2 linked regions of the Struthio camelus genome follow. The protein of the gene in region 1 purifies or fractionates together with the protein of each later gene. This does not show direct contact. Links are inferred from orthologs where the notes say so. Each region holds a gene or a part of one and is shown in the gene's direction. Other genes may lie near its edges. The genes, in order: IGF2BP1 and ELAVL1.

Evidence for each region.
Region 2: the proteins of IGF2BP1 (region 1) and ELAVL1 purify together in Homo sapiens (co-immunoprecipitation; 3 studies listed by BioGRID and IntAct, with this or other methods). This does not show direct contact. The link is inferred for Struthio camelus from reciprocal best matches to the Homo sapiens genes IGF2BP1 and ELAVL1.

What each region holds. Positions count from the first base shown.
Region 1 is NC_090966.1:5,259,883-5,275,818, reverse strand, and holds the start of IGF2BP1 (insulin-like growth factor 2 mRNA-binding protein 1), read left to right. Parts: upstream 1-9,960; 5' UTR 9,961-10,048; coding exon 10,049-10,223; intron 10,224-11,373; coding exon 11,374-11,434; intron 11,435-15,936. UniProt on the Homo sapiens protein: RNA-binding factor that recruits target transcripts to cytoplasmic protein-RNA complexes (mRNPs). This transcript 'caging' into mRNPs allows mRNA transport and transient storage.
Region 2 is NC_090967.1:509,391-525,076, forward strand, and holds the start of ELAVL1 (ELAV-like protein 1), read left to right. Parts: upstream 1-9,920; 5' UTR 9,921-10,117; intron 10,118-10,333; exon of another isoform or gene 10,334-10,406; intron 10,407-11,110; exon of another isoform or gene 11,111-11,231; intron 11,232-12,298; 5' UTR 12,299-12,493; intron 12,494-13,849; exon of another isoform or gene 13,850-14,022; intron 14,023-15,686. UniProt on the Homo sapiens protein: RNA-binding protein that binds to the 3'-UTR region of mRNAs and increases their stability.

The sequences.
Region 1 (15,936 bases):
AAAAACAAGTTCTGAATTAATACGAGACCTTTTTGCCTGTAAGGCACTGGAATGGAGTAGTCAAGCTCTGCTGTCCCTGACCGGCACAGGGTTTGCTGAGGCACCTACACTCTTGTGATCCCGAATTTGACAGCCCCGCGAGAGGTGGTTTACTGACCTATTCCACAGCTGCCCTGGAGGAGCTTTACCTGCTGTGGGGAGCTTCGCAACGTGAAGATTTTCTAGCCCCCCTGTGCAATATCGTCTGCTTTGGAAAAAGCGTTATCCCTGTTTTATCCATAGCTGAGAGGACACAAGAAACGAATGAGAACCAATTTCACCTTCTTTCCCTGCACAGTCCATGTTTAAAGGCGCAGATCCCAACCCGATACTTCCTACGCGCTGAAGCCTCCTCTGAAATAACGGTCTTCAACTCTTTTCTGCCAAGCCTAACAAGATAAATTGCTAGTCTTCTGCCACTTTGGAAAAAGCTTAGCCAAAGATACAGGTTCTTCCTGCTCTGCTACATCTACTATCTGACCCTCTCAAACTCTATTCGCTGCCACTGTTAGCTTAGGAAAAAGAACAAAAATTAAAAAAAGAGAGAGACTGACGCAGAGCTTCTTACCTTCCTGCTCCTCTGAAGCTGCCCTGAGGATTTCAGCGGGTTCTGGTGCTCAGAGGAGACCCTCCAGAGCCTTTATATACATTAGCTGTGAGGGACTGAACCCACTTCCATGAAGTAAACAGGAAATAAGCACCTAATCGAAGCAATTCAAACCCACTTAGATCTGCTTCGTTAGGTCTGTTGACCTGCAGAGCAGGAAAATAACCTTTTAGAATATGTTTACATTAATGGCAATTAAACATCACTATATCGCAAAATCAAGAGTGAACGTGTACTGTGGGCGCAACACATATGGCGTTAGTCTACAACTTAACTCCACGTAGCACCTCCTTCTGCTGGTAAAAACTTCCTTGAGCTCCATCTTTTCTTTTGCAAAGCACGAATCTCATCCTGGGGAGATCCAGGCTGCTCCTCTGCTCTCTTAGAGATGAAGTAGGAGTAACTTTGCTAAAGCCACAAACTCGCATCCTTGTTAGGCGTGCTCGAGGACCGCAGTGGGAGAGCAGCCGGGGTAGCGCGGAGCAGAGCGCCCGTTCCAGCCCTTTGAATCGAGCTGCTTCTGTGCCGGGCGAGCGACGGAGCGCTTTCTCCGCACGGCTCGGCCGCTGGCCGGGGGCACTGAGGCCACCACCTCTCCTTCCCCTGACGCAGCGGGAGGGCAGATGTGCCCCAGATGTTGCTCATGCCAGAATTCAGCGAGTGTAAGGGGTAAAGCCACTTCCACCGGCTCTGCCGTGGCTCCATGCCTGGTGAGGTTCTCCCCAGCGTCTGACCTGTCTGACTTACCCCAGGACGGTTCAGGAGGAGAGCCAGGCCTGTTAAATTCTGATGCTGTTGGCTAATATAACGGCAAACCAGCTACTCTGGTGATCTATGATCCTGGCTGCTCCCAGGGGTGGACCTGGTACTCCAGGATCCCCCTCACGCACAAGTTGAAGGAGCAGAACTGGATTATTTTTGTACCAGGCTGAGCTCTGTGCACGCTGCCGCCAAAATGAAACACTGCCCGCGGCTGACTCTGCTGATTTGCAGAATACCCTGCCATCCGTGGTTCAGTTCCCCAGGGCTGGCTGAGCTTTTGCAGGAGGTTAGCGGCGTCACAGCCTTCCCCTCCGGTCCGCCGGCGTTTGCTCGTGTGGTTCAGACGAGCTGCTAGGAGCAGCAACCCAGCACACCTGGATGTAGGAGGGCTGCGCATTCACAGCCTCCCAGACTGGTGCTGCCTCAGCTGCATCTCAGATCGGCGTGTGAGCGAAGTCACTTTAGTGCTATTAGGGAGTAAGTATTGCTTCCGCAGGAGCTGCCGGACACGTAGCTCAGTCCTTTAACCAGCACCACACAAGCACCCCAAGGTCTGCAAAGGCTTTCACCCGCAACAAGCATGGTGCCTGCTGTGCTAAATGATGCAACGTAACAGTTACAAGTAGCCGATTTACACTCGCGGCACAGTTGCTAATCAATAAAATGGAGTAGTTTATCCTGGTTGCTTTATTATATGTATTCTGGGTACTTCACTCCCAGCCAACTCAGATACCTTGTTTCTCCAAAGCGCACCCTATTTGTTTTCCCCTCATTAAGTGCCTCCGTTGGATGTAAAGTTAATAGAGTGAAATAAATATCCAGCAACCTTAAATGTTGACCTAGTGTTCACAGTTACGGTTATTTCAGGGCGTCTGCTCATGATCCAATTTGGACTGCAGCGTTGCTCTGAAATTTCTCACAACCTTTCAAACAAAAAGGAAAAAAACCCACCCAAACAGATATACAGAAGTATTTCCAAGGAGACGTGGTGTTGCCTGCATTTCATTTGGTCTGTGTGATATCCACAGATCAATGCCTAAAATAGTTAAGCTTTGCCTGCCAGTTCAGGTCTGCAAAGTCGAGAGGCTAAGAGTGAAGCGCTAGCCCGAAGAAGGGCCACATACCCACGTGTGCTTTTTCCAGCGTAACAGAGGCGCTAACTAAAGACGCAGACCTTGCCCTTCCCTAGCCTCCGACCATCAGAGCTACCGCAACGCTTCCCCCGTCGCATTATTCGTGGGCTGCTGCCTTCTCTCCTAACAGGACTCATTTCACAGGCTTCAGCTGGGTCCCCCCTTTAGGTTTCACCCAGCCGGAGCGTTGACGTTTGTCTCCCTGCAAACCAGGTAGGAGAGTGAGGAGAGCTGCGGCTGCCCTGTTTCACCCTCCGCAACCACGCGGTCGCTCGGCGCTCCGCTTCTCAGCGATAGACCTGACCTGAGGAGTCAGTGTTTCAGGAATTTGGAAATACTTTGGGAAGATCACAGCTGTGTTCCTGAAACAGCCCTTCTGGTCTGCTTTGGGACACCAAAACATCTCAAGGGCAACTTTGATTTCAAAGCATTTCAAGTATTAGATGTCTCCGTAATCACAGAAAACAGGGCTGGGAGTGACCTTAGCAGGTCATCTATTCATTCTCCTCCTTCCAGATAGAATCAACTCTGCTTAAATCGTATTGAACGGCCAAAAGTCTAATCCGCTCCTAAAAGTGTGCTGCAAACTTCCCAAGAAATCTCTTACAGTGTTTAGCTCTGACATCTCGCCTTCCTCAGCGCCGCTGTCCTGTTCCCAGTGGATGCGGTGAACAACGGTTTCCCTTTCTGCCCGGAGCAGGGCTGCCTGGCGCCTGTTTGGCAGGGCTCCCCTTAGGGCACCGCCGTTCTGCCAGGGCGTTTCAGCGGCTGCGGGTGCCAGGTGAGAGCACCGCTGCCTGCGCCGGCGGGGGGGTCGCCGGGGCGGTTGAGCTGCCGCCGTTCCTAATCGTATCCAGCTCTGGTCGCTCAGCATTGGCATTTGTTCTACTCCTCAAATCACGGGGAGAGAGGAAGGAGGGATTTTTTGTGTTGTTTTTCATCCCCGTCCGCTCTCTGAGATGGCGAGCGTCCGAGCACCTTTCAGACTCTGCTCCTCGCTCAGCACCAAGTCTGCTCTCAAGGCAGCTTTGCTGCTGGCGAAGAGGCTCAAGGCTTTCTTTGGGGCTATTTCTCTCCCTAAAATACCAGCAATGGCATGTTGTAGAGGAGCTGTAAGTAACCCTCGTGTGCTTTTTTCTCACTTATCCTGTTGCATCTTGGCTGGGCACTAATTCTCTAAATACCAACATCTTTATCCCAACCCCCGGCTCTGCAGCCCAGCCTCCGCTCTCCTCCCCGGGCTGCCTGCGGACTGGCTGTCCGCTCGCAGCCTCGGCTAACCCAGGTGGGTCTTCTATGTCTCAAGCACCAGGGGTTTGGGCTGTCGGGATGGGGAAAGCACCCATCTGCTCCCCGCTGCCAGGACTCAGCTTCCGCTCTAGCTGAAGGCAGCGAGGATTTGCCTGGCTCCTGATCCCATCCCTGGTGCTTGAACCCATCCGGCGTTCAAACCGAGCTGCACGAGGACGGTCTGCCTTGATTTAGGGGAAAGCTTTGCAGTGAAGAACATCGCTTCAGCCTCTCTTTTGGACTCAAACCTGCCTTTCCCTCCAGTGCTTGCAGGGATGGAACAGGTTTTTTTACAATGGCTAAATACCAGATATGTCTTTAAATGCCAATACTCCCTTTTAGCTGCAAACAAACCCTAGGGCCTTTTAAGGCTCCAGCGGTTGTTCTTGACTAAGTCAGCTCACTGGTATGGCTGTTTCAGATCCTCCCTGGTTGCCATTTCTTTTGAAGAATCACACAAAAAAAAAAAAACCAAAATTAAAAAACCCCCAAAACCAGGAACCACAAAACACTAGTCTTCTCCATATTCCACTCTGCGCTTTTTTTTTTTTTTTAATGCAGAGCATATACCCCCCTGGGAGCAGGGACCTACAGCATATAGCACAGTAACTGGCGTAACAAAAAGCCCATGGTAGAGGCTGTAACTTCAATGCATTAAAGATGTACTTTGACCACAGAACCACGCCGGTGTACAAACCCCGCCAGCCCAGCTTTTACCTCTGCGTAGCTGAATGCTGTCGCTGCTTCGTGAGGGCGTAAAGATGATCTCGGCTTGCTATCGCCTTCAAGCTACCTGTGCTGTGTCCTTTTAGCACTTTACCTTGCGACAGCTACCTTGATGTGAAAAACACACTTTATTCCCTCTTGGAGCAAAGATAGAGCCAGAACTAAACAGCTGGAGAGATTAGAGCGGTGGAGCTGCAGGCAAGGAGAGGAAATAATCAGTCCCGATAAATCCCAAGTATGTACCAGCAGGACGAGAAACTAGACAGCACAGTCCACGGGAAGGCGTCTGCCCAAGTGGCCGGTTCAGTAACGCGAAATTATTTCCAGCCCGTGCCCTTGCCGCTCTCCTACCATCACTTTCCCCGCAGCCCAGCAGTGCGAGTGCCACGGCGCAGGCTGGGGGTATCGTTCAAGGTTTAGATTGTGAAATGACCTATACTTTTAAAGTGACCCACAGCAGCAAACTTGCTGCACAGTTTGCCACCTCCCCGGATACAGTCGTTTTGGGTACGATGAATGAGACGAAAATGGAAAGGCATTAATGACTGAGCCTTTCGCTGCCTCGCGCTGCAGGGAGTTTGAAAAGCGGAGGCAAGAAGAGCAGGACGCGGTGGCAAACCCTCCGTCCCGTGGGGAATTTAAGTGGCGACTTGCAATTATAGGGCCCCCAGATTCGTGCTCATGTCGTATAAATCTCATCTAAAAGCGTTCATTTCAGCCTGAAGGAAATCTGATACAAATACCTGAAGTCACTGGAAGGAAAACATTTAATCAGCGCTTTGTAAGTGCGGAGAATGGTTGGAGAGGGGTCCAGGAGATCAGCTCCTACGTGAAATAAGGTCAGGGGGAGTTCAGCAGCGGCAGAAGTCCATCCTCCAAGATGCTTTTTGAACTGCATTAATTTAGTTTATCGTTGTACTAAGACCAAAACTTTCCACCATCGCTCAAGCCACCCACGGGAAGAACGGCTGCTACCACTATCCGTCCAACTCTTTGCAAGTGATTTTGAGCAAGAAAAACTGTAAACTTACAGCTTAGGAAGGTGTGCTGGAAGGGAGCTGCTACATATTAATTTGGGGGAAAAGTGAAAATTGAAGGGACTAACAACACAATTATGGGGCTCTTTCCAATAAGCTTTTTTCTTTCCTTGCATCTTGAATTTCCCGCCTACGCAAAGAAACGGGCTGCAGCCCCCCAAGTGAACAAGACCATCGCCATTATGAAAAAATTTGGATGCCAAGCAGCCTTGTTTTGTTTCAGTCTGAACAGTTCATTGCATGTGCACAAGCCCAAACAGAGGATTCAGTTTTCTGCTCTAGGAGACCTGGAACGTGCAACCATCCGGAGACCTAACCAAAGCTGCCCGCCCCGCGCCGCAGCGAGCGCAGCGATAGCAAATGCTCACAAAGTAGAGAGGAGAAGAAAATAGCTGTTTGCCTGCGGTTTTCTCTTGTTTTTGTTTTAAGGAGACGCCAACTTTTAGCAGCACAGCCAAAGGATTCTCCAAGATGCGAGTTGATTTTTTTAAGCCGGGGTTCATCGGAGTATTTGCTTTGTTTGTAACTGAAGCACTAAAATGTTTAGGAAATATCCAAACGTCGAAGAAAGTTGCAGGTTTAACCGTTTGCAACGTCAGCTCTGCTGCTCTTGAGCCTCGCGCCCGGTGCTGGCAGAGGCGCCCCGGCCGGGAGCAGAGGGGCATTTCGCAGCCCGCCCGCAGCGCCTCGCTGGCGCGGCCGCTGCCCCGTCCTCCTCCGCCTCGACCAAGCCGCAGGCAGAAGCAAAAACCGCCCTGCAAGCGCGCAGGGAATCCGGGGATTGTCCCAAATCCAGCGCAATGCTGAATTTTGTTTCGAAGCAAACTGTTAATTTCCCAATCAGTTTGATTCTTAACAAATTTGGCAGCACAGCCTGGAATCGGCGGGACCTTCTCGGACGGGAGCTTCTTTTTTCCAGTGGTGAATGTTTTCCACATAATAAAAAGGGAACAAAAAGGGGTTTAAACTGTGATTCCACTTCACTAAGAGGAAATATTTCCCCACTGCATTGCTCGCTCTTCTTATTCTGTTGAATTCTCACCTGTGTTTTATGCTCAGGCTTGCTCTGAGCTCAGATGATTTCTGCTAGCTGAGAGCTAATTGAAACAGATTCTGCAAACATTAAATTCTTATTTTTTTGCTGTATGACCTATGTATTTTACCGAAAACTTTCAGCACACGTTTATTTGATAGTAATCAACAGATACTTTCAAACTCTTGAAACTGAAGAATTTCCAGAGTTTCTGGGGTTTTTAAATACACCTTTAATTTTCTTAAAATTAAACATAAGTGACAGCACTAGAGATTAAAAAAAAAAACAAATTAAAGAAAGATTCAAATGACAACTGGCAGAAAAATTACAGATTATAATCTGTTCTAGTTTACCACTAATCTGTCATAAAGATTATTTCTGTTTTAGGTATTTTCTGAGTCAGAGCACCAGCAGCACTTGAGCAGACGGCAGGAATTTCGCCCCTTTGTACGAAGCCCACGTTTCATTAAAACCTCAAACGCGCTGCTCGCCCCTCCCGTTCAACTTTGTACTCCAACCAATTTTTCTGAGCACCCACGCGGCAACAATCGCTTTTCTGAGTTGTGGAGAAATTGTCAGTTCTCTGTGAGCGCTTTCCTACCTGCTTCAGGGATTTATATCTAAGGGAAAAAACAACCAACCAACCTTTTGCCAAAATCAGATCTTACGTCTAAAGTCAGGAATAAATTTATGCCGACGCCGGAGCGGGACACCGTTTGTAAGCCCACGCGAAGCGGCCAGCCGCTCGGAGCGATTTCGCCAAGAAATTTAAGGAAATCCTGGGGAAGGGAGAAGGCCACGCAGGCTCCCCGAGCTGACAGCATCCCGGGGGAAACTGCAGCTTAGCAGCGCCCGGGCTGCAGCGCTCCTGACCGGTTGGGGCTCGGCAGCTGCTGCCGAGCCTGACGTCTGCAGGAGCAGCGCGGTCGCCCTTGCGGGGGGCTCGGCGAGCCCCAGCTGCCGGGGGCGGGGGGCCCGGCCGGGCAGCCCCCTCCCACCCTGCCCCAGCCGTGAACGGGGTTGGGGGGGGGCAGCAAATCAATGATGGAGCCTCTGCTGTTTGCATTCCCTAAATACCTTGCATCTGGAACGCTCCACCGAGGGGAAGGAGCTTGACTGATAGTCTTTCTTGTTTCAGACCTAAATTGAAGACTTCCCTCTTTGTTTGGTGCTTTTTTTTTTTTTTAAGGCTGGTTTCCTTGATTTCATTATTGCAAAGGGTTATGTTACACGGGCAAGGTGCTCGGTTAACCAATAAACAGCGGCAACAGCAGTATTAGGGTCAAGATTAGAAACAGAGGCGAGGCAGATAGGGGCTCATTTATTTTGACTTGTTTGCCCGCGACGCGCAGCGCGGTGGAAGCCCGTGAACGTCCCAGGTTTCAGCCCGCGAGGGTGCGAAGCGCGCTGTCTGAGCTGCAGGAGATTTATTTCCAAATTGCATCGCTCTCTCCTTTTCGTCTGTGACTTTTGAGCGTGGGTGACACGCCGGAAGCCTTAGAAACCTGCCCGTGGACACAGAAAGCCTCCTCTGGCTGCGCCGGTTTGGTACTTCTAGGAGAGCCAAATAACGCAGCTGGAAGGATGGAAACCAGACTTGCCCTGGTGAGCAGCATCCACACGCTGCAGGAGCAGCGTAGCAGAGAGCGGTTCAGAGCCGGGAGGGAAAGCGGACTGCTCCGGGCTTTAAATGAGCGTTTGGCAGAGGGGTTTTTTTTTTTTTTGCCGTTCGCGTGAACGAGACGCCCGGGGGGGCTGCAGCGCAGGCGGGCGTCCGGGGCTACGCGCGCCTGCTTCCTCGGACCCGCGCAACTCGCCCATTTCTGAGCGACCTCGGCTTTATTTACTAACAAACCCTCCACGCAGCTGAGCAAGGGGCGGGGGGCGGGGGGGGGGAAGAAAGAAAAAAAAAATCGAAAATAAAAAAAAATATCGGAGACGTAACCGGGCGCCCCGCGGAGGGGGGAAGGGAGCGCGGCAGCGCCGCTGCCCCCCCGCGCCGGGCGCGCCCTCCGCGGGGCTCTCCCGGCGCCGGAACAGCGCGCACGCCTTGCGGGAATTTTAATATATAGATATATATTTTTTTGGGGGGGGGGTGGTGCCCCCCGTCTGGGCCGCCCAGCACGTGGGAGCGAGCTGCCTTGCTGCGCGTTTTCATCGGGAGCGCGGAAAGGCCGGACGGAGCCTCCGCGGCGGCGGCGGGGGGAGCCGGGGCCGCCCCTGCCCGCCGCCGCGCTGCCGAGCCGCCCGCCCCGTCGGGGGGAAGGCAGGAAGGAGGCTGGGGGCGGAGGACGGTAGCGGGGGGGATGGGGAGGGAGGGGGGGGGGCTCGCTGCTATTTTCAACCCATCTCGAGCCTAAAAATAAAAAGTCTCCAGAAAAGGCTAGGCGGGGAGGGAAGGGGGGGGGCTGCCCCGCACACGCCGCTTTGCCGTCGGGGAAAGGCCCTGCCCCAGCGCGGGGCCCTTTTGTGCCGGGAGGAGCCATCCCCCCCCCCCTCCTTCCCCGCAGCCCGGGGGCTTCCGCGGGGCCGCGCACCAAGCGCTTAAAACAATGCCGGGGCCCATCCTCCCGCCGGGGGCGCGCAGCCCCGGGGGGGCGGCCCGCCCCCCCCCCCAGCCCTGGCGCCAGGGGACCCTCGCGGCCCCTTTGATACTGAAGTTGTTTTTTTTTTTTTTTTTTTTACACCCAGAAAAATCCCATTGAGGCACCGGGGGCCGGCGTGGGGGGGGGAGGGGCGCCGGGGGGGAGGGGCGCGGTGGGGGCGGGGGGCTGCAGCAGCAGATGGCAAAAGTGCCTCCGACGGGACGGCGCTGGGGAGGGGTGCGGGGTGGGTGCGCACCCCTCCCCGCAGGGTGGTGGTGGGGGGGGTGGAGGTAAATACCGTAGTATTTAAATTAAAATAAATAAATAAGTGGCGGCGGCTGGGCCCCCTCCCCCCCGGCCCCTCCCCCCGGGGGCCGGGCCCTCCCGCATCACCACGTGGCTTCCTCCAGCAAACATTTTCACTCATTTTCCAGGTCGGTTTTATTTAGAGGCGGTGCCCGGCTGCCGAGAGGCGTCCGGTGACACTCGAGTGCCACTCGGCCGACTTGGGGGCCCCCGGAGCCGGCGCCGCCGCCCGTCGGAGCAGCGCGCCCCGCCGCCGCGCCCCCCACCTCCCCCCGGCTTGCTTTCCTTTCCCCCCCCCCCCCCCCCCGCACCGGGAAATAATCCCCCCTGGATTATTAACCAAAAAAAAAAAAAAAAAAGAGGGAGAGAGGGGGAGGGAAACCCCCCCCCCCCCGCAGCCCCGAAGGCGCCCGGCGGCGGGGCGGCAGCGCGCGGCCGGAGCCCGACGGCGCGGGCGCTCGGTGGAGGCGCCCGGCGAGGCGCGCTGCGAGCCCGGCCGCCCCCCCCCCCCGCCGCCGCCCCCCGCCACCATGAACAAGCTCTACATCGGCAACCTCAACGAGAGCGTCACCGCCGCCGACTTGGAGAAAGTCTTCAACGAGCACAAGATCTCCTTCAGCGGGCAGTTCCTGGTCAAGTCCGGCTATGCCTTTGTGGACTGCCCCGACGAGCAGTGGGCCATGAAAGCCATCGAAACTTTTTCGGGTAAGCGGCCTCGCCCCCCTCCCCTCTCTCCCCTTTCCCCCCCCCCCCACCCGCTTGCTGCCCCCCTTCCCCGACCCCGCATCCTGCCGCCGGGCAGCCCCTTGTTCCCCCTCCCCCCGACGGCGCTTGCATCAGCGCGGGGGCCCCCGCAGGCTGGGGAGGGGGGGGGGCGACCCCCTTTTCTCCACCCAAAAGCAGCTAGCGGAAGGGTGAAACGAGGCGGGGGCCTCTCCCTGCCCACCCCCCCCCCACACACACCCACCCCGGCCGGGCCCCCGTGGGCGCCCCCGGGCCGGGCGCGGCGGCGGCGGCGGCAGCGCGGCGCCCGCCCCGCCGGGGCTCGGCCCGGGGGTCCCGGCGGCAGCGCGGGCGGTGGGCTGGGACTTTGGCCATTTTGATTTGAAACTGCCTTGGCTGGGGCATGTGATGCGCGGAGTAGCGCGAAGGTCGCCATGCTGCTCGCACGGAGAGAAAAAGCTCCCGGGGAAGCAGCTCGGCTCTTTATTATTATTATCATTATTTTTATTTTTTTTGAAATTTCGATTTTTTCTTCCTCCTTTTTTTCTTTCCCCCCCCTCCCCCCGCCCAGCTCTCCCGCCGAGCTCTTCCCATACCCGAGCCCCTCTCCCCAACCCCCCCTCCCTCCCCCGCCCCAAATAAACCAGCCGCAAAGAAACCACCCCGTTTTTCAAAAGCGAGAGATCCGTTTCTGCCGTGAACGACTCGGAGCCTTTGGGTGGGGAGGGGAGAAGGGGAAAGGGGGGGGGGAAGGAAAAAAAACCCCAAACACCCCTAAAACGAGGAATTCCGCGGGAATTCAACACGAGGCTTTGAATAAAGGCGAAGAAATCCCTCTCCGAATATCCCTCTCCGTTTTCTCCCGCGCGGAGCGGAGCGGAGCGGTGGGAAGGGGGCAACGGGGTGTCCAGGCGGCCGCTGGCCGCCCCCTCCCGCCGGGCTCCCGCCCCATACAACGCGCCCGCGGGGCAGCCGGCGGCCGTGTTTGCGTGTAGATCCCCGTAAATTCGGAATGAAAACGAAAGGTTTCACGTGGTAGCATGTTCTCCAGGGCTTTTATTTGTTGCCCCCCCCCATTGTAAAAAAAAAAAAAAAGAAAAGAAAAAAAAACCCAGACACATTTTGTTTTTAGGGAAAGTGGAGCTTCATGGAAAGCAGCTAGAGATTGAACATTCAGTGCCTAAAAAGCAAAGGTAATACAGCGTTTTATTTTCTTTTGTTAATTTTTTTTTCTTTGCTGTTGGGGAGGGGGGAAAGGAGAAAAAAAAAAAAAAGGCCGTAAGATAAAGGAGACAAAAAAAAATATCCCCAAATATGTGCATGTGAAAGGAGATATGTTGGCGATTTGGCTCCCGATCCGTCCTCTGCGAGGTGGGAGTCAGCGTGCAGGATCAATGTTGAAATTTCCTTCCTTTTTTTTCTTTTTTTTTTTTTTTTGAAGTTAACTCTGAGAGCAAGTTTAAACCCTAGCCGAAACAATGACCCCGCCGCTCGCTCGCCCAAGCTCGGGCACGGCCGAGGCGGTTTTGGGGTCTGGGTTTGCAAACTTGTGCAGCCGGGCGCGTTTCCGCAGCTTGCCCCTCTCCTTCGCTGGGAAGCGCCTGCCTTTTGTTTTCCGCTTTAGTTTAAAAAAAAAAAAAATTAAAAAAAAGAAGAAAGGCCAGGGGGAAACGTGCTGGTGGGACTGGCGAGGCCGGGCGAGGCGGGGGGCCCGGGCTGGGCCCAGCTCCGCGCAGCCCCTCGCCTCTGCCCCGGGCTCACGTGCCCGGCCTGGGCCTCCGGCCTCGCCGCGCTCTTGGCCCTTTGTTGTGTGCTTGGGGGGGGGGGCTGCCAGCCGTTTTGGGGCAGGAATGCTGAAAAAGAGAAATAAAGAATAAATCCCCCCTCCTTTTTTTTTATTTGGGGGGGGGAGGGGAGTACCCCCAACCGAACGCCCCGCGCCAGGGAGCAGGCGAGCGGCTGGCCCAGCCGACTCGTCCACGTTGGATGGCGCGGGCCCCGGGACCCCCGGGTCCACGTGACGAGGCGCTTACCTCAGCGGCGGGGCCGGCAGGGAGGAGGCCGAGCCCAGCAAACTCCTTCTCCCTCAACTCTTTGCTGCTTCCCTCCGATTGACCAAAAAAAAAAAAATTTATATATATAAATATATATATATATATATATATATCCCCCGGCGTGATCACGGGGGAGTCCATTTTCCTGGTGCGGGCTGGGCCTTGCCGCGGCTGCCGCCAGGCCTTGGCCTTCACAACTTTGCCCCAAACCCTCCCTCGGAGCTGGGGGTCAGGGAGGGGGAAAGGTTTTGGGAGGGGGGGGGAGGCTAAAAGCCCCTCGGCCTCCAACCCCGGGGTCCGGCTCGTTTAACTCGAAGCCCCAACTCCATCCCGTAATTTTGCCTCTGGAAAGATTTGGGAGCGACGGGACCTGCCTGGCGCCGAGCTGATCGATATTGCTCCTTACGGCGGCCGACACCTCGCCGTGGCTTAAATATCCCGGAGCGGAGCGGTGTTGTGGGAAAGGCGGTGACGGCGCGGAGGGGACGGGGGTGACGCTGGGCCAAGGGGGCCTCACCGTTCCCCCCCTCCCCGTAGCCTGGCTCCATGATCGATAGCTTGGGCCGAAGGGAGCGGATTTCACCGTCTTGCCTGCTCCGCTCTGCCCTGCCCTGACTTTTCTCCCCCTGCGTTATTAGGAAATTATCTCGAAATGTAAATATTTCTTTGGAGGCTGCAGTTCCCCTCCCTCTCCTTCCCCCCCCTCCCAAATATCCACCCGCCGCCCTGTTGTCCAAACTCCACGGTAGGTGGAATCGAACCCGAAGGTTAGTTGGCTCGTTTTTAATGAGAACCAGGAGAAATGAAATTAATTCCGTCGAGCTGCTAAATCCCGGGCTGGGGGGTGTTTTTTAAATTTAGCCACATATTTCTCCCCCCCCCCCCAAATCCGCTGCCTTTAAAGCTATAGGAGCCATTTTTGCTGTCGACTGTCTCCGTGGGCTTCCCCCTGGCAAGAAGGGGCTTCGCGCTGGGTCGCCCTCTTCCCGGGGGGCTCCTGGAGCCCGGCCGGGCTCGGGGCTGCAGTTACTTGGTCTCGGTTTCGGGAGGCGAGTTTGTATTTTGGGAAAGGGGGGGGGGGCAACTTTGCAGGTTGTTAGCTCGAAGCAGGCTTTCGGGGCTGAGATGTCGTATTTTACTCTTCTCCCCCCTCCTGCCCTTTTTTTTTTTTTTTTTTTTTTTTTGGATAAAGACCGAGATGCTGGGACTGCCTCTGTGTCTAAGTAGACTTTGTGCGTGTGTGTGGTTTTTTTTTCTTTTCTTCTTTCTACTTGTTTTTTAAGACTGGATTTTCCAGTTTCAAGACTGCACAGAACAGGAAATGGTTAATTAAGAGTAGTAAGGGCAAAATCAGATGTTTTTGGTGTGATTTGAAACAAATGCCTCCCCCTCCCCAAGCTGATATGAATTTTTTCTTTGGGGGGGGGGTAGTGTAGAAATATGGAAAACAAGACGTGTTCATTTGTGTGCTTTCCAGATGATTTATAAAATAAAAATTTGGCTTGATGGTTGTGTTTCTTGTGTTTGAAACTGCAGATGATGATGCTCAGTCAAACTGGTGTGGATGTTTCTTGGAAATGAATGGCTACAACAAAACTATTTGTTGTAAATCGATGTTGCATGTTGGTGTATTTCCTTCTTTAAAATCTCTCTTGCCCCTGATCCCATCGTAGAAATGAATTAAAAAGTAGAGAATGTGTTAATGTTGCACCAGAAAGAATGCTTGGTGTGTAGTTGCCGCACCAAAATGCGCAAGCATGATAAACTGATTTAGGGCTGTTTAATTACAGGGATTCTTCAAATAACACTTAAGGCTGCAAATGTTGTTAATGGTTATAGGCGACCATTTTAAAGAAATACTTTAGAAATATTTGACCATAAAGAAAAGAAACTGCTGGTAAATATGTCACTTCGTTCTTGGCAGTGAATCCTTCAGAAACCCCCTCAGTTTTAAAAGTTTGTTTAGATTTTTTTTTTTGAAGCATCTCATTGTTCTTTTGAAGTTATTTTTTTCTGCAACTTTGCTGATGGAAAAAACTTGGGGAAAGCTAAGAATATATATATATATATATATATATATATATACATACATATATTCAAACCTGAAAATTATTACATGTGTTATGATTCAGAGGGTTAAAGAAGAAAAGATCCTTTAAAAAAAGTAAGTTCAGCTTCTCCTCCTCAAGATTAAGAACTGGTTTTAGGGGGGTGGTTAAGCCTCTCTGAAACTGAAAAGACCTAAGCAGATAGCATTAAAAAGAATGAATGAATGAATAAAGGAGGAGGGGTGAAGGGGGGAAAAAAGTGAATCCATCAGGCAGACATTCCAAATATGAGGAATGTGGAAGTGAGTCGACCAGAGAGAATGAAACCAAGTAATTGGGGGGAAATAGTGAGTTTGGTTGATAACAGCCAATATACTTTAAACTAAAAAGATTTGTGCGGGGCATTTTGAAGCAGAGGCGATTCATAAACAACATGTGTGTTTAGAAGAGTCAGTGAACTCTCAGGCAGGAGTGGGAATTACTATATGTTATTAATTATGAGAAGATTTAGTGTAGCATATAGAGAATTGGGTGGATAAATCTTGAATTGCCACTTCTTTTTTTTCAGGCTTTGTTTCAAATTAATGCATTTGCACACTGCAGAAGCAGTCTTTTGTGTGTGCATAATCTTGGCATTAATTATTCATAACGAAATATTTAAAAACTTTTGATAACAGCTAGTGTAAATTCTTTGTTCTTAAGTATTAACTTGAAAATACGCCTTCCTACCTAGAATTCTGTGCATTCTGTGAAAATTGAGCCGAAAGAAATGAGGTAGTTCTTTTTTGTGTAAAATAAAGACACTGTCTCAAATGCTGCGACAAAATATGTTTTTAAGCCTTTGTTCAGATCCTTCGCTTCCCCCAGAACAGGTCTGTTTGAGAAGTTACAGTATCTTTTAAAAATTAGCAACATTCTTGTTCACAACAGTGTGTGAAGATTGAAACACAGGATGAAAGCTACTTTCTGAGAGTGCTGAGTTTGATATCACTTCATTCGTTATTGTCTTTCTGTTAAGAGAGAAAAAAAGCAAGAATCTTAGTAGTTCTTTTCAGATCTGTTTCATGAATGTCCAGCTCTTAACTCAAAGGCACTTTTTAAATACTCATTTTACACCTCTGAGAACTGGCATAACTCGCAAATTAATACAGTTTGAGCCTTTCCAGCTAGAAAAAAGTAGAAATAATTTGTCATTGTCACGTCCTCCTGGAGTAAACTGCGTCAGTTAGGTTTAAAACTGAGATAATCTGCCCAATTTTGATAAACACAGGGGAAAGAATATGCTTAGCAACTTGCAGCCTGGAGTGACTGTTGACGAAATGCCTTGATGTCCCCCTCTCCAAGTAGCAGCTGCAGCTGGCAAGTAGGTAAAGAAGTTGCAATTTAAGTGCAAACTTTGTAGCCTCCAGTTTTGCACCAGCAGCGGAGGGGAGTCCCTCTTTGCTAAGAGTGTGATGACTTTTAATTTTAGAAGGAAAGAAGAAATCTGCCCCTCTGGAGGGCGCGCCTGGCCGTTGCGAGGGCTCGGTGCGCTTCTCCGCTTTAATTTCTTTCTGTCTTTGCCTTTTAGGTTAAGAAACAAGCAAACAAACC
Region 2 (15,686 bases), on another chromosome or scaffold:
TCATCTGTTATTTGTAGATTCCTTCCTCCTTCAACTATCTTCCTCTATACTTGGCAGTAATTTGATATTTCCCCCTACAAATATATCCTTTGGAGTAGGATAGATGCCTAAACTTTATTTCCCTTTTTTATTGTACTACTTGTGATAGCTTCCCCCTGCCGTTTTAATGGCAAAAGATGGACAGGTGCTAAATAAATCTAATGCTAATGGCAGAATGGGTTGGAGATGATACTGTACAAGCTGTATTGATAGCTTGGTCTAGGAAATCTTCCACGTTCCTGAAGCTTCACAGATTGACAGTTTTTCTTCAAGACGTTCAAACGTACTCCTTTACTACAGTCTCCAATCCACAACCAGTGCAGATAACTCACTTTTTCAGGAAAGGAACACTGGCACATCCATGTAGATTAAAAGGTGTTGATGAACCTATTCTTTATTGATGCCAAAGTATACCTACAAAAAAGAAAAATCATGAAAAAGCTCCCACGAAAGCTCTCTACTGTCCGCTGAAGCGTTCTCAGTACGTGGATTAAAAAAAAAAAAAAAAAAAAAATCAGAACAACTCCCTAGTTAAGCAAACTCCCAACCAGCTTACTATTTCAAAGCCACAAGTCTGAACAAGAGATCTGTTTTTCCTTGGAAAGCATTAGAGATATGTCTATAATAAATCACATGAGATGTAAAGACAATGACTCACTTCATTATCTTTAAAGCATGAGAACAGAATGCAGAGAAAAAAGTCCCTAGGAAATGCTGATTTCAGCTGCACTTCGCTCTCTGGTAGCAGTCTCAGCGAAGAAGAAACAATAAAGTGATTCTGAACAGAATCACTACAGAAACAGTACTACAGCAATTACATGGCATTAGTCTGAATTTCTGTATTATACTCACTCATTTTACAGTTACAAAAAAGTGCCATTTAAGTAAGCCTGCAAATTTAACCTTAAGGCTCAAAGTTAAATACAGTGCAAAGTAAAGGAAGAAACATGCCAGTAAAAGAAGTTCTGACAGACAAGTGGACAAAAGTAAACACTTTGATGTAGTAAACAGTTCTGCTGATAAATCACAGCAGTGAGTTCAATATATAATAAACACGTCAATTTTGGAATGAGTAATAAGAAGTTGCAAAGTCTTCATAACTTGATATCATGACAAGGCAGGCAATTCCTAATTTAGTGCACTAGGAGCTCTCACTTCCTATGGACTACCTCATAAGTATGACAGCACATTTTTTTCATAATGTAGCCTGAATCTTTATGGTGGACAGGTAAGTGGGATTTGGGGGGGAGGGGGAGGAGACAGAGAGGAAGGGAAAGAAAGTGCTGTCGCTGAAATTTTCTGAACTAGGCTTTTAACATCCACGAAAGCAATATGACTTAGTACAAGAGAGTTGCTTATTGGATCCTACTGAAGCCCTAATCCAAATTCCGCCACGCTTCCTCAGTGGTTTCAAAACCCTACTGAGCCTCTCGGACTCAGTTTCCATACCTGTACAATATGCGCAAGCTTACCTGTATCACAAGGATCTAAATTCAGGTAAGTTAATTTAATAAAGAAAATACTGTACACACATCATGTAGCCACTGCCAGAGATGGAGCACTGCTGGCAAAACATTCTCTGTGAAGAGCCCCTGAGAATTACGTGCAACAGACTAGACCCAAAGCTTGCATTTATTCGTCCTCATACATTGCCTATTACTTCCACTGAATTATCTGAGCATATCTCCTATTATTCAAAAGGGAGAATTAAAGCTCTACTAAATTGTTGTGCAGCAGAGGAAGTTGCAGAACAGGGTTTTCTTTTCAGTATCCTGTCGCCTGAAATGCATTCTAGTGCCAAAATGAAATGCGTAGGCACAAAGAAAACTGAAGGTAGTAATGACTGAGGCTTTTCAATTAAAGATTAGAGAATAAACAATTTTAACCATTACTATCTTTACTGTGCAATTAACATGAGCAAATGCCATCAATACAGGTCACCAACTAAAAAACACAAAACAAAAAAAAACAGGAAGTGCCCATGGATTAATACTTGTAAGCTTGGCGTTATGACAGGCTAGGGAATAGGCTGCTGCTGCTGACTTCCATAACCAGAGTCCTGTCCCCACTGTGTTTGATGCGCTCCAGATGTAACAGCTGTATTGGCCTGAGAGTGGAAGCATAAGATTTGCCATGCAAGAGTTCGCTGTATTGTATGGCTTGCTGCACTGGCTGGATGTAATTAAACTATAGCTGGCTGACTGCTAAAAAAAAGAAATACATGAAAAATATAAACAAATATACAGGAGCACAAAGTTTTACTTAACAGACCCCGTTTCCATTCACAGAATCCACTCATACTGCATTTTATTAACACCCTGCAAGACAGTCAACGTATGAAGGCTTTGACTAACGCTGCAGTTCAAAGTCTGTGCTACAAAGTTAGGGTCACAAGTGATGAAGACTGGAGTTAAGATAACCACAGGAAGAAGCCAGAACACAGGTCCCTAAGAAAATGACAGCAGCACAGATTGCACACTATGATGAACAACAAACAATTTTACCTTTGGTACCATGGGCAAAAAATACTCATGCTTTTATCCAGCACTAAGTCAGAGTAGGACTATTAAAACATCTCATTCACCTAAGCAATGTATCTCACTCCTCGGTCCATTATTACATCTTTGCCCGACAAAGTATAAATCAGGCAAGTGTAACATGCTAAAAGTTACAGCAGTAACGTTTAAGGAGCACATAACATACCACCCTGAGAGGGAGCTCTCCAATGACACACACATTTAAGAATGTGCCTGAAGGATGCTATTGTTTGGTTTAAGTTCAAGCTTTCATTTTTTATATTACTCTTAACTGTGTAATTCATTTCAGAGCCCAACATTTATTTGCATATGCAGTATATGCCTATACATTTTATAATCTAAATATATAGAAATGCTATTACCACTGTGAAGACAGTGATCAGTATTATCTGCTCTAAAGCAGTCTTCAAATATGAGACTATTACCATTTAATTAATAACTATTTAAGCACTATAAAGTGTCATAGCCTTTCAGAAACAATAGAGGACTAAGTCAAGTAGACTAGATGTGACACATTCAAAACTCTGCACTACATTTTAACATTATCCTCATCCTTACCATTGATCCGCATCAAGATAAAACCTAGCGCAGAGATTTCATGCTTAGCTTTACAAAGAATCTTCAAATCACTAAGCAGGTAATGCAAAAGTACCTCCCTTTAGATAAAATTCTATCACTTGTAACCCTATGACTTTTCTCCCCTGAACAACAAACTAGAAACAGTCTCTGTGTATGCACGAAACAGCCATTCCAAACTTTGTCCAGAAAAGGATGCTCAAGACAAATATGTGAGTATGCTATGTTTTTGCTACATTTTACATCCTCATTTGCCTCAGTCTAAATATTTAATGCCCTCATATTATCCCTGTGCGATGAAGAAATGCTATTACACAGAAAGAAACAGAACTACAGAGACCGTGGAAATGCTAATGTGGTTTCTGAGAAAGGAACACAGACAGCAGCCTGGAGATCACAGAATGGCTGAAGCTGGCAGGGACCTCTGGAGAGCACCTAGTCCAATCCCCTGCTCCAAGCAGGGCCAACTAGAGCACGTTGCCCAGGTCCATGTCAAGCAACACAAGCAAAGGTTATTTTGGTTCCGAACTTTGTACTAAATGCTTGCGTGAATGGTGCATGGGCTTTATAAAGAAGGATTTTTATCTACGTGACTGTTGCATCTAACACTATATTGCACTAATAGGATAGCCTACTCCTTCCAGCAACACAGACGTAGACTCTTGTTCTATCAAGAAGCAGAGAAACTTGATTAAAAAAAAAAAAACAAACAAGAAAAGCAAGAAAGTATGTTACTAAAGAAATCATTAAAACCAGATCTCTGTCAACTCTTGACTGAGTTAGTCACAAGGAAACAAATCCTTTTATCATTGAACTGAAATGAGAACAAGCTATCATAGCATATATGTTAAAGGAAATACAGCCTTTCAATTTCTATCTTGCAAGTTTTGTTTCAGACTTGAATTTATCAAGAGTGAATAAGTTATTTTCCATATATCCTTAAGCTATTAGGTTACAAGACAATTTTTGTATTTAGACATTTTACCAGCGTGCAACATTTCAGTTTGTTATTAGAGATGAAGTAGAGTATGAGACATACAATGCAGATAAGTTTCCCATTGTAATAAACTGTTAAGTCACAGAGAAAACCAAAGGAAAACAAAAAGTTCATTAGTTGTAACAGTTCACAGAACAACATCCCTGAAATGACATTTTCCTCATGCAGTGGAATAATGGACAAGAACTTCCTCTAAAAGTCTTTTCAAATCATCCTAAAGTGTGGAAAACTGTTAAGAGCATTCCTCCTTCTCCTACAGCTCTACTGCTTTCGCATATATTATTTTGAAGCCATGGTTCACTTCAACATCCAAGCCAGAGGTTTTTTTTTTTTTTCATTTTTTTTTAAGAGTCAAAAATTTACAAAGTTTGAGTAATTTATAACTCCACTTGCTTTCATGTTTAGTTATTTAATTTCAAAAGATGAAACAAGGCTAACAAAGTTATTTACTTCTTCCACCTTCAGAAACCATTAAAATGGAAGGCCACGGATAACAGCAAACAATTAAATTGAGACCTTCTAAAACTGGATATTAATATTACTGTAACAATTACAAGCATTAGTCTCCAAAACTCTTTCCACTGTGCATGCATGGAGAGAGAAACAAGAACCATCATCCTTTGTTAAAAAAAAAAAAAAAAAAAAGCAAAATATACTGAAGAGAAATCTGGAGAATGGGACAGGAAAGGAAATTGAACTCACATATATAGAATTCAAAAGCATCGTGCTGCGAGTGTTAAAAACCTAACAGCTTCCCATCCTCACCAGAAGCAGAATTCTGTTATAACCCCCCCACCAAAACAAAACAAAACAAAACGAGTCTACATCATGGCCCTGACTTAACATTTTATAAGTTTAGCTCTTGTAAGAAATCAAAACTTTGAACTGCAGGTTGTGTGGGTGGTTTTATTTATTTATTTATTTAAATGTTCACCTGTTCTCAAAAGGAAAGTTATTTCTCTGTGAATGTTTTGTAACCTTTACCAAAGATAAATTGCTTAGTCACGTTGACATTTTTACACAGTGCTATCTTTGGGAGTCACTTTAGAATATTATCTTAAAAGTAGTTTACTAGAGATCTTAATGCAATGAATGCACAAATTTAACCTGCAAAATAGGGAAAAAATTCTCTGTCAGTATTGGGTAGATCCTAAAGCCTGAAATATCACTAATTCAAGAAAGAGAGACTCTTTCTTAGGAAGCTTACTGCTCATTCAGTTCAAACTATACTGAATCCTGTCCCAGAATACATCATACAGTCAGTAGAAAAAACACCAATGTCTACAGTTGATTTTTGGTTAAAACAACTACAAATTCAGTATTGTCTTCTGAGATGTCATGTTAGAAGGCAGTAGATAGCAGTTATGGAACAACTAATTTTCCATTCACGTAAGGCAGCCTACGTTTATACATGCTGCAGTGAACTTGTCAGGGGGGACCTTTTAATAAGGACAATACTGGAATGCTATGGTGTTATCTGAAGGCCATGCAGGGTATGACCAGGACCATTCTGAATTGGTTTCAGTCATACCTGACAGAGCTCTCCCACATGGTTGTGATGGCTGATCTGTCTGAACTAAAGATTGTATGTGAATTGCCCCCAGGCCAGTTTTGACTTCAGTGATTTTCAGCATCTGTAAGCTGCTTTTCGGAGAGATTTTTTGAAAGACAGGGCTTGGGCTCTTGATACTATGCTGGCGATACCTCTTGTGTATCTCTTATTTCCTAACTATTATAACACTCAAGATATTTGGGACTAGATGACTAGAAATTCTGAAATTAAACCTTTACAAGACACAGATAATGCAGATTTTTTTTTTTACTAACATTTCCTTAGACATCCCACTGTCACATATTCAGAGAAGCATTCAGCATGTAAATATATACAAAGTGTAAGCTTGGTATTAAAAACAAAAACAAAAAAAGCCCACAACTAACCATCATCCTGCTAGATGGCCACACATCTGCTGGCACTTTGATAAGGTAACCAAGACACAATCCCTCAAGATAGAACCCATGCTTCATGGTGTAATAAAGTTTACAAGATTACCTGAAACATTCACCTGGAAAGTGTAAAACTCTATATATTTGGGGATAAGAACAGATCAAGGCTACACGTTGCTTCACTTTAAGCATTTGCTGCAGACTGGTACGCTTAACACATCATTTACATCTTTCAACCGTGATTCTGATATGATGTTCAATCCTTCTACAAAGTTTGGTGACCTAAACAGATTCACGCTACTACAACACAAGATTCAACAGAGCTTTGATGTTTCAAGCTTTCACTAACAAAAGTATAGTCATACTTTCCTCCGTAAAGCCCTGTATCTTTACAAAAATCTCTCTTAGAGTTCTGAAATATACCCCTGAAGAATGAAATACTTGAAGTCTGATAGCAGTTATTTTGTCGTGTATTTCTTCCATGGTGGTGGCAAGATCACAGACTCAGAATCACAGAATGGTTTAGGTTGGAAGGGACCTCTGGAGATCATCTAGTCCAACCTCCCTGCTCAAGCAGGGTCACCTAGAGCATATTGCCCAGGATCACATCCAGGCGGGTTTGGAATATCTCCAGCGAAGGAGACTCCACCACCTCTCTGGGCAACCTGTTCCAATGCTCTGTCACCCTCACAGTGAAGAAGTTTTTTCTCAGGTTCAGATGGAACTTCCTGTGGTTCAGTTTCTGCCCATTGCCTCTTGTCCTGTTGCTGGGCACCACGGAGAAGAGGCTGGCCTCATCCTCTTGACACTCCCCCTGCAGATACTTGTACACGTTGATGTGATCACCTCTCAGTCTTCTCTTCTCCAGGCTGAACAGGCCCAGCCCTTGCAGTCTTTCTTCAGAGGAGAGGTGCTCCAGCCCTCTAATCATCTTGGTAGCCCTCCAGTAGTGCCATGTCTCTCTTGTACTGGGGAGCCCAGAACGGGACACAGTACTCCAGCTGAGGCCTCGCCAGGGCTGAGGAGAGGGGCAGGATCACCTCCCTCCACCTGCTGGCAACACTCTGCCTAATGCACCCCAGCATACCATGGGCCTTCTTGGCCACAAGGGCACACTGCTGCCTCATGCTTAACTTGTTGTCCACCAGCACTCCCAGCTCCTTCTCTGCAGAGCTCCTTTCCAGCAGGTCAACCCCCAGCCTGTACTGGTGCAGGGGATTATTCCTGCCTAGGTGCAGGACCCTGCACTTGCCTTTGTTGAACTTCAGGAGGTTCCTCTCTGCCCACCTCTCCAGCCTATCCAGGTCCCTCTGAATGGCAGCACAGTCTTCTAGTGTGTTAGCCTCTCCCCCCAGTTTAGTATCATCAGCAAACTTGCTGAAGATGTGTAAGGCTTGCACAAGTGCTGTAAACGTTCAAGCCAACTGATAACTTCATAAAGTCTATAAGATTATTTTGGAATTATGGCATCCATATTGCCATAGTTTCTGTATTTAAGGTCACCCAGAATACAGGCTCTGAAACCATAAAGCTCTGTCAGTGACTGCAAACCATTCATATCAAATATTAAAATCACAGAACGCTTTGTAATTATTGTTGGTGCCAGTAAAGATAACCTCAGTGTCAAGTTTGACAGCAATGTCAATGGACTTACCATTACTGAAGTATCTAAATCAAACTCATGGCTTCAATGAGGCAGTTACATCACTGTAGACATCTGAACCATATAAGGACAGATAAGCAAATATATTTATGTGTATTGTTTTTGTGGTAATAAATACTTAATCTTGAGACTAACACGCTGTTCGCAAACCACCATTCCTGAACCATATATCCCACTCCTCATAACTCCCTACCATTAGTTCACACATGGGCACTTGAGTACAATGCTTTGCCAAATCGTCCAAAATACAGAAAAGCAGGCACCTTCCTCAAGCCTTCCAGGAAAGGAAAATAAAGTAATTCAGACAGCGCTTACCATGCATTTTCATTTTGCTTAGAATCCTGAAGAAGTTTCAGGGATTGAAAGATAGTAAGAAACGCAATTAATGTTTTCTTATTGGTAGTTTGACTGATAAAGTGTTTTTCACATTAAACTGAGATTAGAAGATGTGGTCACTCAGTAAGCTTAGCCTGATTTTCTCTGCTAAGCAAAGCTACAGCAAGCAATGAGGTCTCATGCACAGGCTACAACTAGTAAGCAATATGCAGATGCAGTGATTTACTTTAATATAAAAATGCTAAATACTATGCTCCTATAAACAAGAGACATGAACACGTGAAAGCATGCTACCAGCAGTCACAAAAAGTTACTATGCTTTAAGAAGGGATTGTCTTAAGCGTCACAACTTAAATGTGCATTCAGATTTGTCATAAAATATGACATGTGCTTCCCAAACATTTTCTTCTGTTTAGATTGGGATACATAGTAAGATTGATTGATCATAAAGTAAGATTGATCATAAAAACGGTCATCAATGCTTTTATATTTTAATTGCAACAGATAGTTAGCGCTTCCTGGAAAGAGAACTATACTACAAATAAACACTATATCAAGCAGTGACATCATTCAAAGCTGGTATAAGACTATGCAAAACCACAAGCTTCATAAATAACGACCTTGAAATAAAAAGGACTACTGGCAACCAGATAAGCTTCCACTTTGCTTTCTCTGTTTTTGTTGTTTCGCTAGGGAGGTATTTTATTCACTAAGCTTTCATTAAGATGTTTTCAAACACCGGGCTAACATACAATGTAACTGCTGTACAAAAAATAGGGAAGAAAATTGCAGAGGCCGTTAATGCACAAAGGAAAAGCAAAATCAAAGAAATGGGAAGAGAAAAACCTTCAACAAGGGCTTATTTACCTGCAAATTTAAATTGAATTTTAAGTTATCCACACTTGTCCCCAAGCCATTAAATGTGACAGGTTTAATTTGAAAAGTCTGGTACCTCACTGTAGTGGCACAGAGAAACCTCAAGTAGCACGTTCCACCAGACAATGCATCCACTATTCAGTGCAAAGAGGCTCTCCACTTGAAAGCTCACTAGCCCTCCAATGCTTTCCCACTGTTTTCTGCATTGCTCTAATAAAGGCCAGAGAAATCCACTCACAATTCAATGAAAATTTAAAGGGGGCTTCTCTTATTGCTGTGCAAGGAACAGCAGAATATGCCCCACGTGACATAATTCACAAGTGAAACGACAGCACTAGCAGAATGAAACAGGTACTTAAAACTAACCACAATGAAGGTAACTCCTAGAAAGGGAAATACCAAATACGACTCCATCCTTCTACAAACAACCAGAAGGAACTTCTGGAGAGCACAGAACACTCTGAACAAGTGGGTATTATCAGAGCAGATCTCTGGGGAGGAAGCTACCCTCAAGAATGATGACTGGGTAAGAACCAAGAAATTCCCAAGAGCCACAGAACACCAGAAGGAGTGAAAGGAGCAAAGGGGAACTACAAGAAAAGTGAAATCAGAAAGCATTGTTTGGGAGGATGCTCACGGTGGAGCAATACAGCTACCCTTGAGTCTGGCAAACAAAATCGCTGTCTGGGGCCACAAGCCACAAGGAGATAGAACTGGGGTGTCAGGTACCCAAAAGTCTTGGAACAATGCCAGGGGTGCTTGTTCAAAGAAACAGAAGATAACACTGGCGGCTGGAGCTCTGAGAAGACAACGGAACGGGTGGAAAAAGGGCTCTTAGGGGAAAACAGAGGTCTGAAAAAAATACGATGCCCTACGGGAGGAAGGGGAAGATAAAGAAACTGAACACAGCAGGGAGGAAGAAGGCCATCACAGAGGGAGGGGAGGGCAGAAGTGAGGACACCTTTCAGGAGCTAGTTACTTCACAAGGCAGAAAGGACGGAAGAGGGAGCTGGAGCTCCAGCACCTGGAGCCCGAAGCCCCCAGCGCACCCCGGGCCCAGGGGGACCCGGTCCGTCGCCAGGGTGCGATGGGGCGAGCGCAGCGCAGCGCCGCGACCGCGGTGGAGCCTCGGCGAGAGCCAGCCCCGAGGCAAGCTGCCCGGCCGCTTGGGGGGGGGGGGGGGCGCGGGCGCCCCGCCGCCATTTTAGCCGCCCTGAGGGCGGGCAGCGCTGGAGCCGCCATGCCGGCGTCGCTCCGGCAGCGGCGAGGCGGGGCGGGGCCGGCCGTGGGGGCGGGGCGGGCCTGGCGGCGCCGTAGCGGCGACGGCACCGGCGAGGGGCGGCCCACTTCCCCGGCCCTGGTTACCTGCCCCAAGGCCGGGCGGCACTCTGCGCGACGCCTAGCAGCTCCCAGCCGCCATTTTAGCGACTGCAGAGAGGCGCGGGGGGGGGGGGGGGGGGAGGACGTGATGGCGCGGGCCCCTCCCGCAGGGGGCGCGAGGCGCGGGGGGGAGGCGGCCCCGGGGGGAGGGTCGGAGCTTTTAGACAACTGCGACACGTCTGCAGCGAGCGTTAGGCCGCTGATTACTGATGTGCTATATCGATGTCGTTACATCAATCACCTGTTCTCGACATCCGACACTGGTGGATGCCGTGAGGCCAGCGTGGTGCCCTGTCTGAGCTGTGGGCGCTGGCTCCCCGCAGGGAGGCAGAGGGGTGGCAGCAGGCTGCCAAAGTGCTACTTTAAACATCGTTCATGGGGCCTTCCTGGAGCAACTAATCAGTATGCCTGGAAATACATGCCTGAATGGACCTAGAAATCTGTTCAAGATAGATAAATATATATATAGTATATTATGTAATATATATATAGTCATTTTATATATAGATATACCTATATATCTATATATGAAATGACTTTAGTATACCCCAATTGACCACTCTTGTGGTCAAGGAAAAGATAAAGTAGAGTTATAGCGTTTTATCATAATGACAAAAATGATATAAAAATAAGAAAGCTACTTAAAAGGGCAGGATAAAAAGAATCTGTGGAGAAGTCTGTCAGAGCCTTCCAAAAAAACGGTCTGGAGCCACCATCCAGGTCATGAAGTCCTTAAATGAGTCACTGCCGAACTTCTTAAATGAGTCACTGCCGGAAGAGCGAACCACAAGGGCTGTGGCTGCTCACACGCCTGCTTTGTGTAGTTAGTGTGACTTGACTAAAGCAAGCAGACCTGCTTTCCGGTGGACTGCTGATCCTACTGGTAAAGTGCTCTTACATTCTCTACTAAACTCCATCTTAAAACTAATGAGGCATTTTGTCCCTGTTACGTTTCTTAGAAGGCTCCGCAACACTCTTTCTCCTTTTGTAACCTGCAGTTTCTAGCTGATATTTGCTCATGGCGGTTTGTAACTGTTTGTCCTTGCGGCAGTCACTTCAGTGCTTCACTTCACATTGTTCATTTTCCTGCCATATGCAAGAACCGAGTCGACAAACCTCTTGCAGGATCACCAAATATAACTCGGTTGGCACTCGGTTTTCATGTTTCAATGTAAATCAACGACTAGCCTGACTGAACATACTGTGAAGAGCCAGATGACATTGCATTGCGTCATCGTAAAATGACTTCACCAGGACAACTCGCTTTACATTTTAAGAAATTCTATGTTATCGTGAAACTTGAAAACCAATGTATTTTCGCAATGAACTGAAACATGGCAACAGAAATTGAATACATTTCAGCAAAATGAGATCATTCCTTTAAAAAATGACATACAGGTTAGTAGGATAATACCACCCAATTGTCATCATGGTTTTCCATAACACAATGCTCATGATGATAAATGAAATAATTATATTGAATATGTGCTGCTGTGAATAAAAGTATCAAAGCTCAGTGCAGCAGTTTCATGCCTACAGCCTCAGTTAGAAATCTGAGACCTATCTTAGGCCTAAGAACAGGGCCACTTAATTAAAAACTGAATGATACAAGAAAAATGCAAGATACACAGTAACAGAAAGCTGCCATTGATGTGAATGACAAAATTGAGATATTGTGGCTGGCATGCATAGCATCATGAGCAAATGACAGATGCACAAACATCTTTAATATTTTACGGGGCCTTGAAGGTTATTTCCAGGCCTGTCAGGCTTGGAATTTACATATAAGGATTCCCCATCTGGCACTGAAAGCTATGGTAAAGACAAAAGAAAATGAATAATAACTCTCTCCAGCGTTTCTCTTAATGGTTAACCTCTTCAATGGACTCTTGATTTAATGATGGTTCCCATCACCTCCTCTTTGATACCATGTCCTCCATACTATTGCAGAAACTGGCTTGTTCCTGGGCATCCTGTATGGAAGATTAGCATCCCATATATAACAGCCCTATAACAGGACCACATGATAGGGTTTCTGAAACGGATTTCTGGACAGAAAACCAGATACCATCAGTGCAACAATGCTGGGAATTTACTATGCAAGGCCTTTGCCAGAGGCAAAATTGGCATCTGTTCCAAGTCAAGGTAGGTAGAGGAAAGATATTTACATTCTGAGCGTGTGATTTTCCATGTGTTCCAGGGTAATTATTACTAGGTACACAGTATTTCCATATGTATACATGCAATGAAATGGCAAAGGACACATACCCTATATGGTTTTGCCATTGTATCTCAAGCGTCCATCCTTCAGACTGTATCTCACTATTTCTAGTCCAGAAAAAGGTATATTAATTTGATTTTAGAGTCATGTTACTCAGCTAAGTACAACTCCAATTCATGAGTTATCTTTGATAAAATAACATTACACATTTTAGTGCAGCAATACCCTGGTGTTACTTTTTGGAATATTTGTTCAAAGTTGAGTCCCAAATTTAGATCTTGTCAGGTTATACAGAATTTACAAAGTCTTGCAAATTCACAAGTGAGTCAGGCACAAAACAAACTGTTTTGTACCAAGGGTGTTATTGCACAGTACTATGTTAATGACAAAAAGACACTTGTTTCCTGCAGAACAGTGGAATTTTACATTCAAGGACTCTGCCTGTGCAGTGGAATTAGGTATGGATGCAAGGTATCCATACCTTGCATAGGTATGCCCTTGACTACGAAAAATGTGCTGGGTCTGGATGGAGGGATGAGAAGAGTTAAGATCATTGCAGAACTTCCTAGAGCATAGAAAAGAGCTGACCACCAGAGCTTGCGCTATAGAGCATTTCTAGCATTTCATTTGCGTAGGAACAATTTAATCTCTTAACCAAGAGTCATAAGCATTCCTCTGCACTATTGCTCAGCAAGGCTCCCGTTTCTCTTTGCTGCAGCTGGCACCGTGTCTACATCCACGGAGAGAGGTGGCCAGCCAGTGGGGAGTCACTGACCGCAGACACCCCAGAGCCTGGGGCTGTCCTGCTTTTGCTAGCTGCTCCAGTCTAGTCTAACTTCTCCTACAAGGAGAAACTCGTATTTCTCCCTGTGGGAGCACAGCGTGGAAGGATTTGCACAAGGGGATCAATGGAGGCAAGACCCGCATTCCCCTAGCTCCTGGCAGTCACCTCAGCAAGGCCCAGCTGAGCAGGCCGAGGCTGGGGGAGCACCAGCTCGGCAGGCTCCGGGCAGGCCCTGCCTGAAGCCCTGAGCCGTCCCTGTGGGGGCTCCCTCCAGCCACGCCGCCGGCACCCGCCGCCCCCCGCGGCCAGGAGCTCCCCCTCTCGCCTCCACCCACGCCTGCCCCTGCGGCCGGGCCGGCTCGGGCCCTGCGCGCCGCCGCCGCCGCCGCAGGCTCCCGCCTCGCCTCAGGCGGGCCCGCGGCGGCGCGCAGAGCCCGACTCCCCGCGCCAGACCGGCGGCGCCCCTCCCCCACCCGGCGCTCCTCCTCCCCGGCCCGCGCTTGACCGACGGGCCTTCGGGCCAACGGGGCGCCAGACACGTGCGCGCCGCAGCCAATGGAGCTCGGCGGGCGGGGCGTGGGCGTGCCCAGCGGCGCTGCGAGCGGCTTGTTGTGCGCGCTGCGGAGCCGTTAGCCTCCCGCTGCTCAGGCCCTGCCGAGCCGCCGACAGGTGAGGCCTGGCCGGCTCGGGCCGCCTGGGGGCGGCTGGGAAGCCCTACGCGGCTGCCGCGGGGCCGGTGGGGGCAGGAGCGGACCGGAACGGACCTCGCGGGCCGCGCCAGTGAGGCCAAGGCCTGGCCCTGGGCCTGGGCTTGGGCCTGCGGGGGGAGAGCCGGGGCCTGCGGGTGGGAGGGGCCAGCCGCAGGGGGAGCGCGGGCCCGGGGCGGGCGAGCGAGCCGGGGCTGCGGCCTGGGGGCGGCGGGGCCGGGCCTGTGGGGCGGTGAGGGCCTGTGTGGGGTGAATGGGCCCCGGCTGGTGGCTGAGGGGCCTGAGGCCTCTGTGTTCGCGGGCGGTGAGGCCGTGGGTCTCGAAGCCTGGGGCTACTGTTGAGGGAGCCGGCCCTAGGTGGGAGATGCACTGCCTGGGTCTATACCTTGTCTTGGAGGAGTTGTTCTTCCGGTTAATGCTTGTTGTCCTTTATATTTATTTTGTGTGTGTCTGCAGTAGATATTTTAAATCTCCCACCTTCGATAAGACTGGTGCATTTTTATTGATTGGCAGTATCTGAGGGTGGGCTTCCTAATGTGGACAGCACTTACTAACATCAACGCTAATTTTGGCCTGCTAAGAACAAGGTTAGGAAATGCTATGTTAACTGCCTTTGGCCAGAAGAAGTCACAACTAAAGTAGTATCCCACTATTGTTAGTGCTGGTGAGAGGTTTTTCAAAGTAGAGCACTTACTCTACTTGGCGATTGAAAGAGGCAAGAATGCGTTAGGGCAGCATTCAGTGGGAGGATGTGTGTGAAAAGAGTGTGTGCAGAGGTAGCCTGGAGAAAGGACCACTGAGCTGTGGTGGAATAATTTGTACAGAGGTGAGTATGCTGATGACCATATTCTGTAATGTTGGGCAGTGGAGTAGCCTTATCTATAAAGGCAGAGGCCTATATCTGAAGTTTGCTGAGAAGGGAAACGTTTAATTCCATGAAGGGCTTATAGCTTGGATCCTGTGATCCACATATTGAGATGCCTGTGGGAAAATAAGGGAGGGAACAACTAAGAAGGATAGAGATTAATTTATTAATACCTCTTACTAGTACTTCTTATTAATGTAACTGGCTACTGACATAATTGAGCACTTCTCTTGATCTCTGTATTTCTCCTCCTTTTTCTCTTTCATTTTATGCCATGAACGTGGATGTTGATAGCTCATGTTTTACAACTCCTGCCTCTTTAGCAGTCTGCTGTCCCCCACTACTCATGTTTGAACTACTTTCCTTTCTAGATGTATGTGAACAGAGTTCTTGCAGACCCATGCCCCTCTCTTTAAAAATGGGGTAATGTCTATATTCTGTATGCTTTATCAAGCCTATATGAGACGTTTTCATCAACTCTTGGACTTCCAGTGACTCTTGGGTGTGGGGGGGAGGGGTGTCTGTACCATGTGATAGTAAAGCCTAATTCCCTGAGCCTTCTGAGTCTGTGCAGCATGCTGCGTTACTCTATGGCCATGCTAGATTTGGTTTTGAAGCAGTATAAGTGCTTGTGTGATGCTGCAAATGAGTTGTGTGGCTTCATGTTTAAAAGTGTTCAGCAGTTCTGACTTAAAGAACTCCTATTACCTGCCCCTGCAGTATGCTATCCACTCAATTTGGTTGGAATGAGAACAGGGACA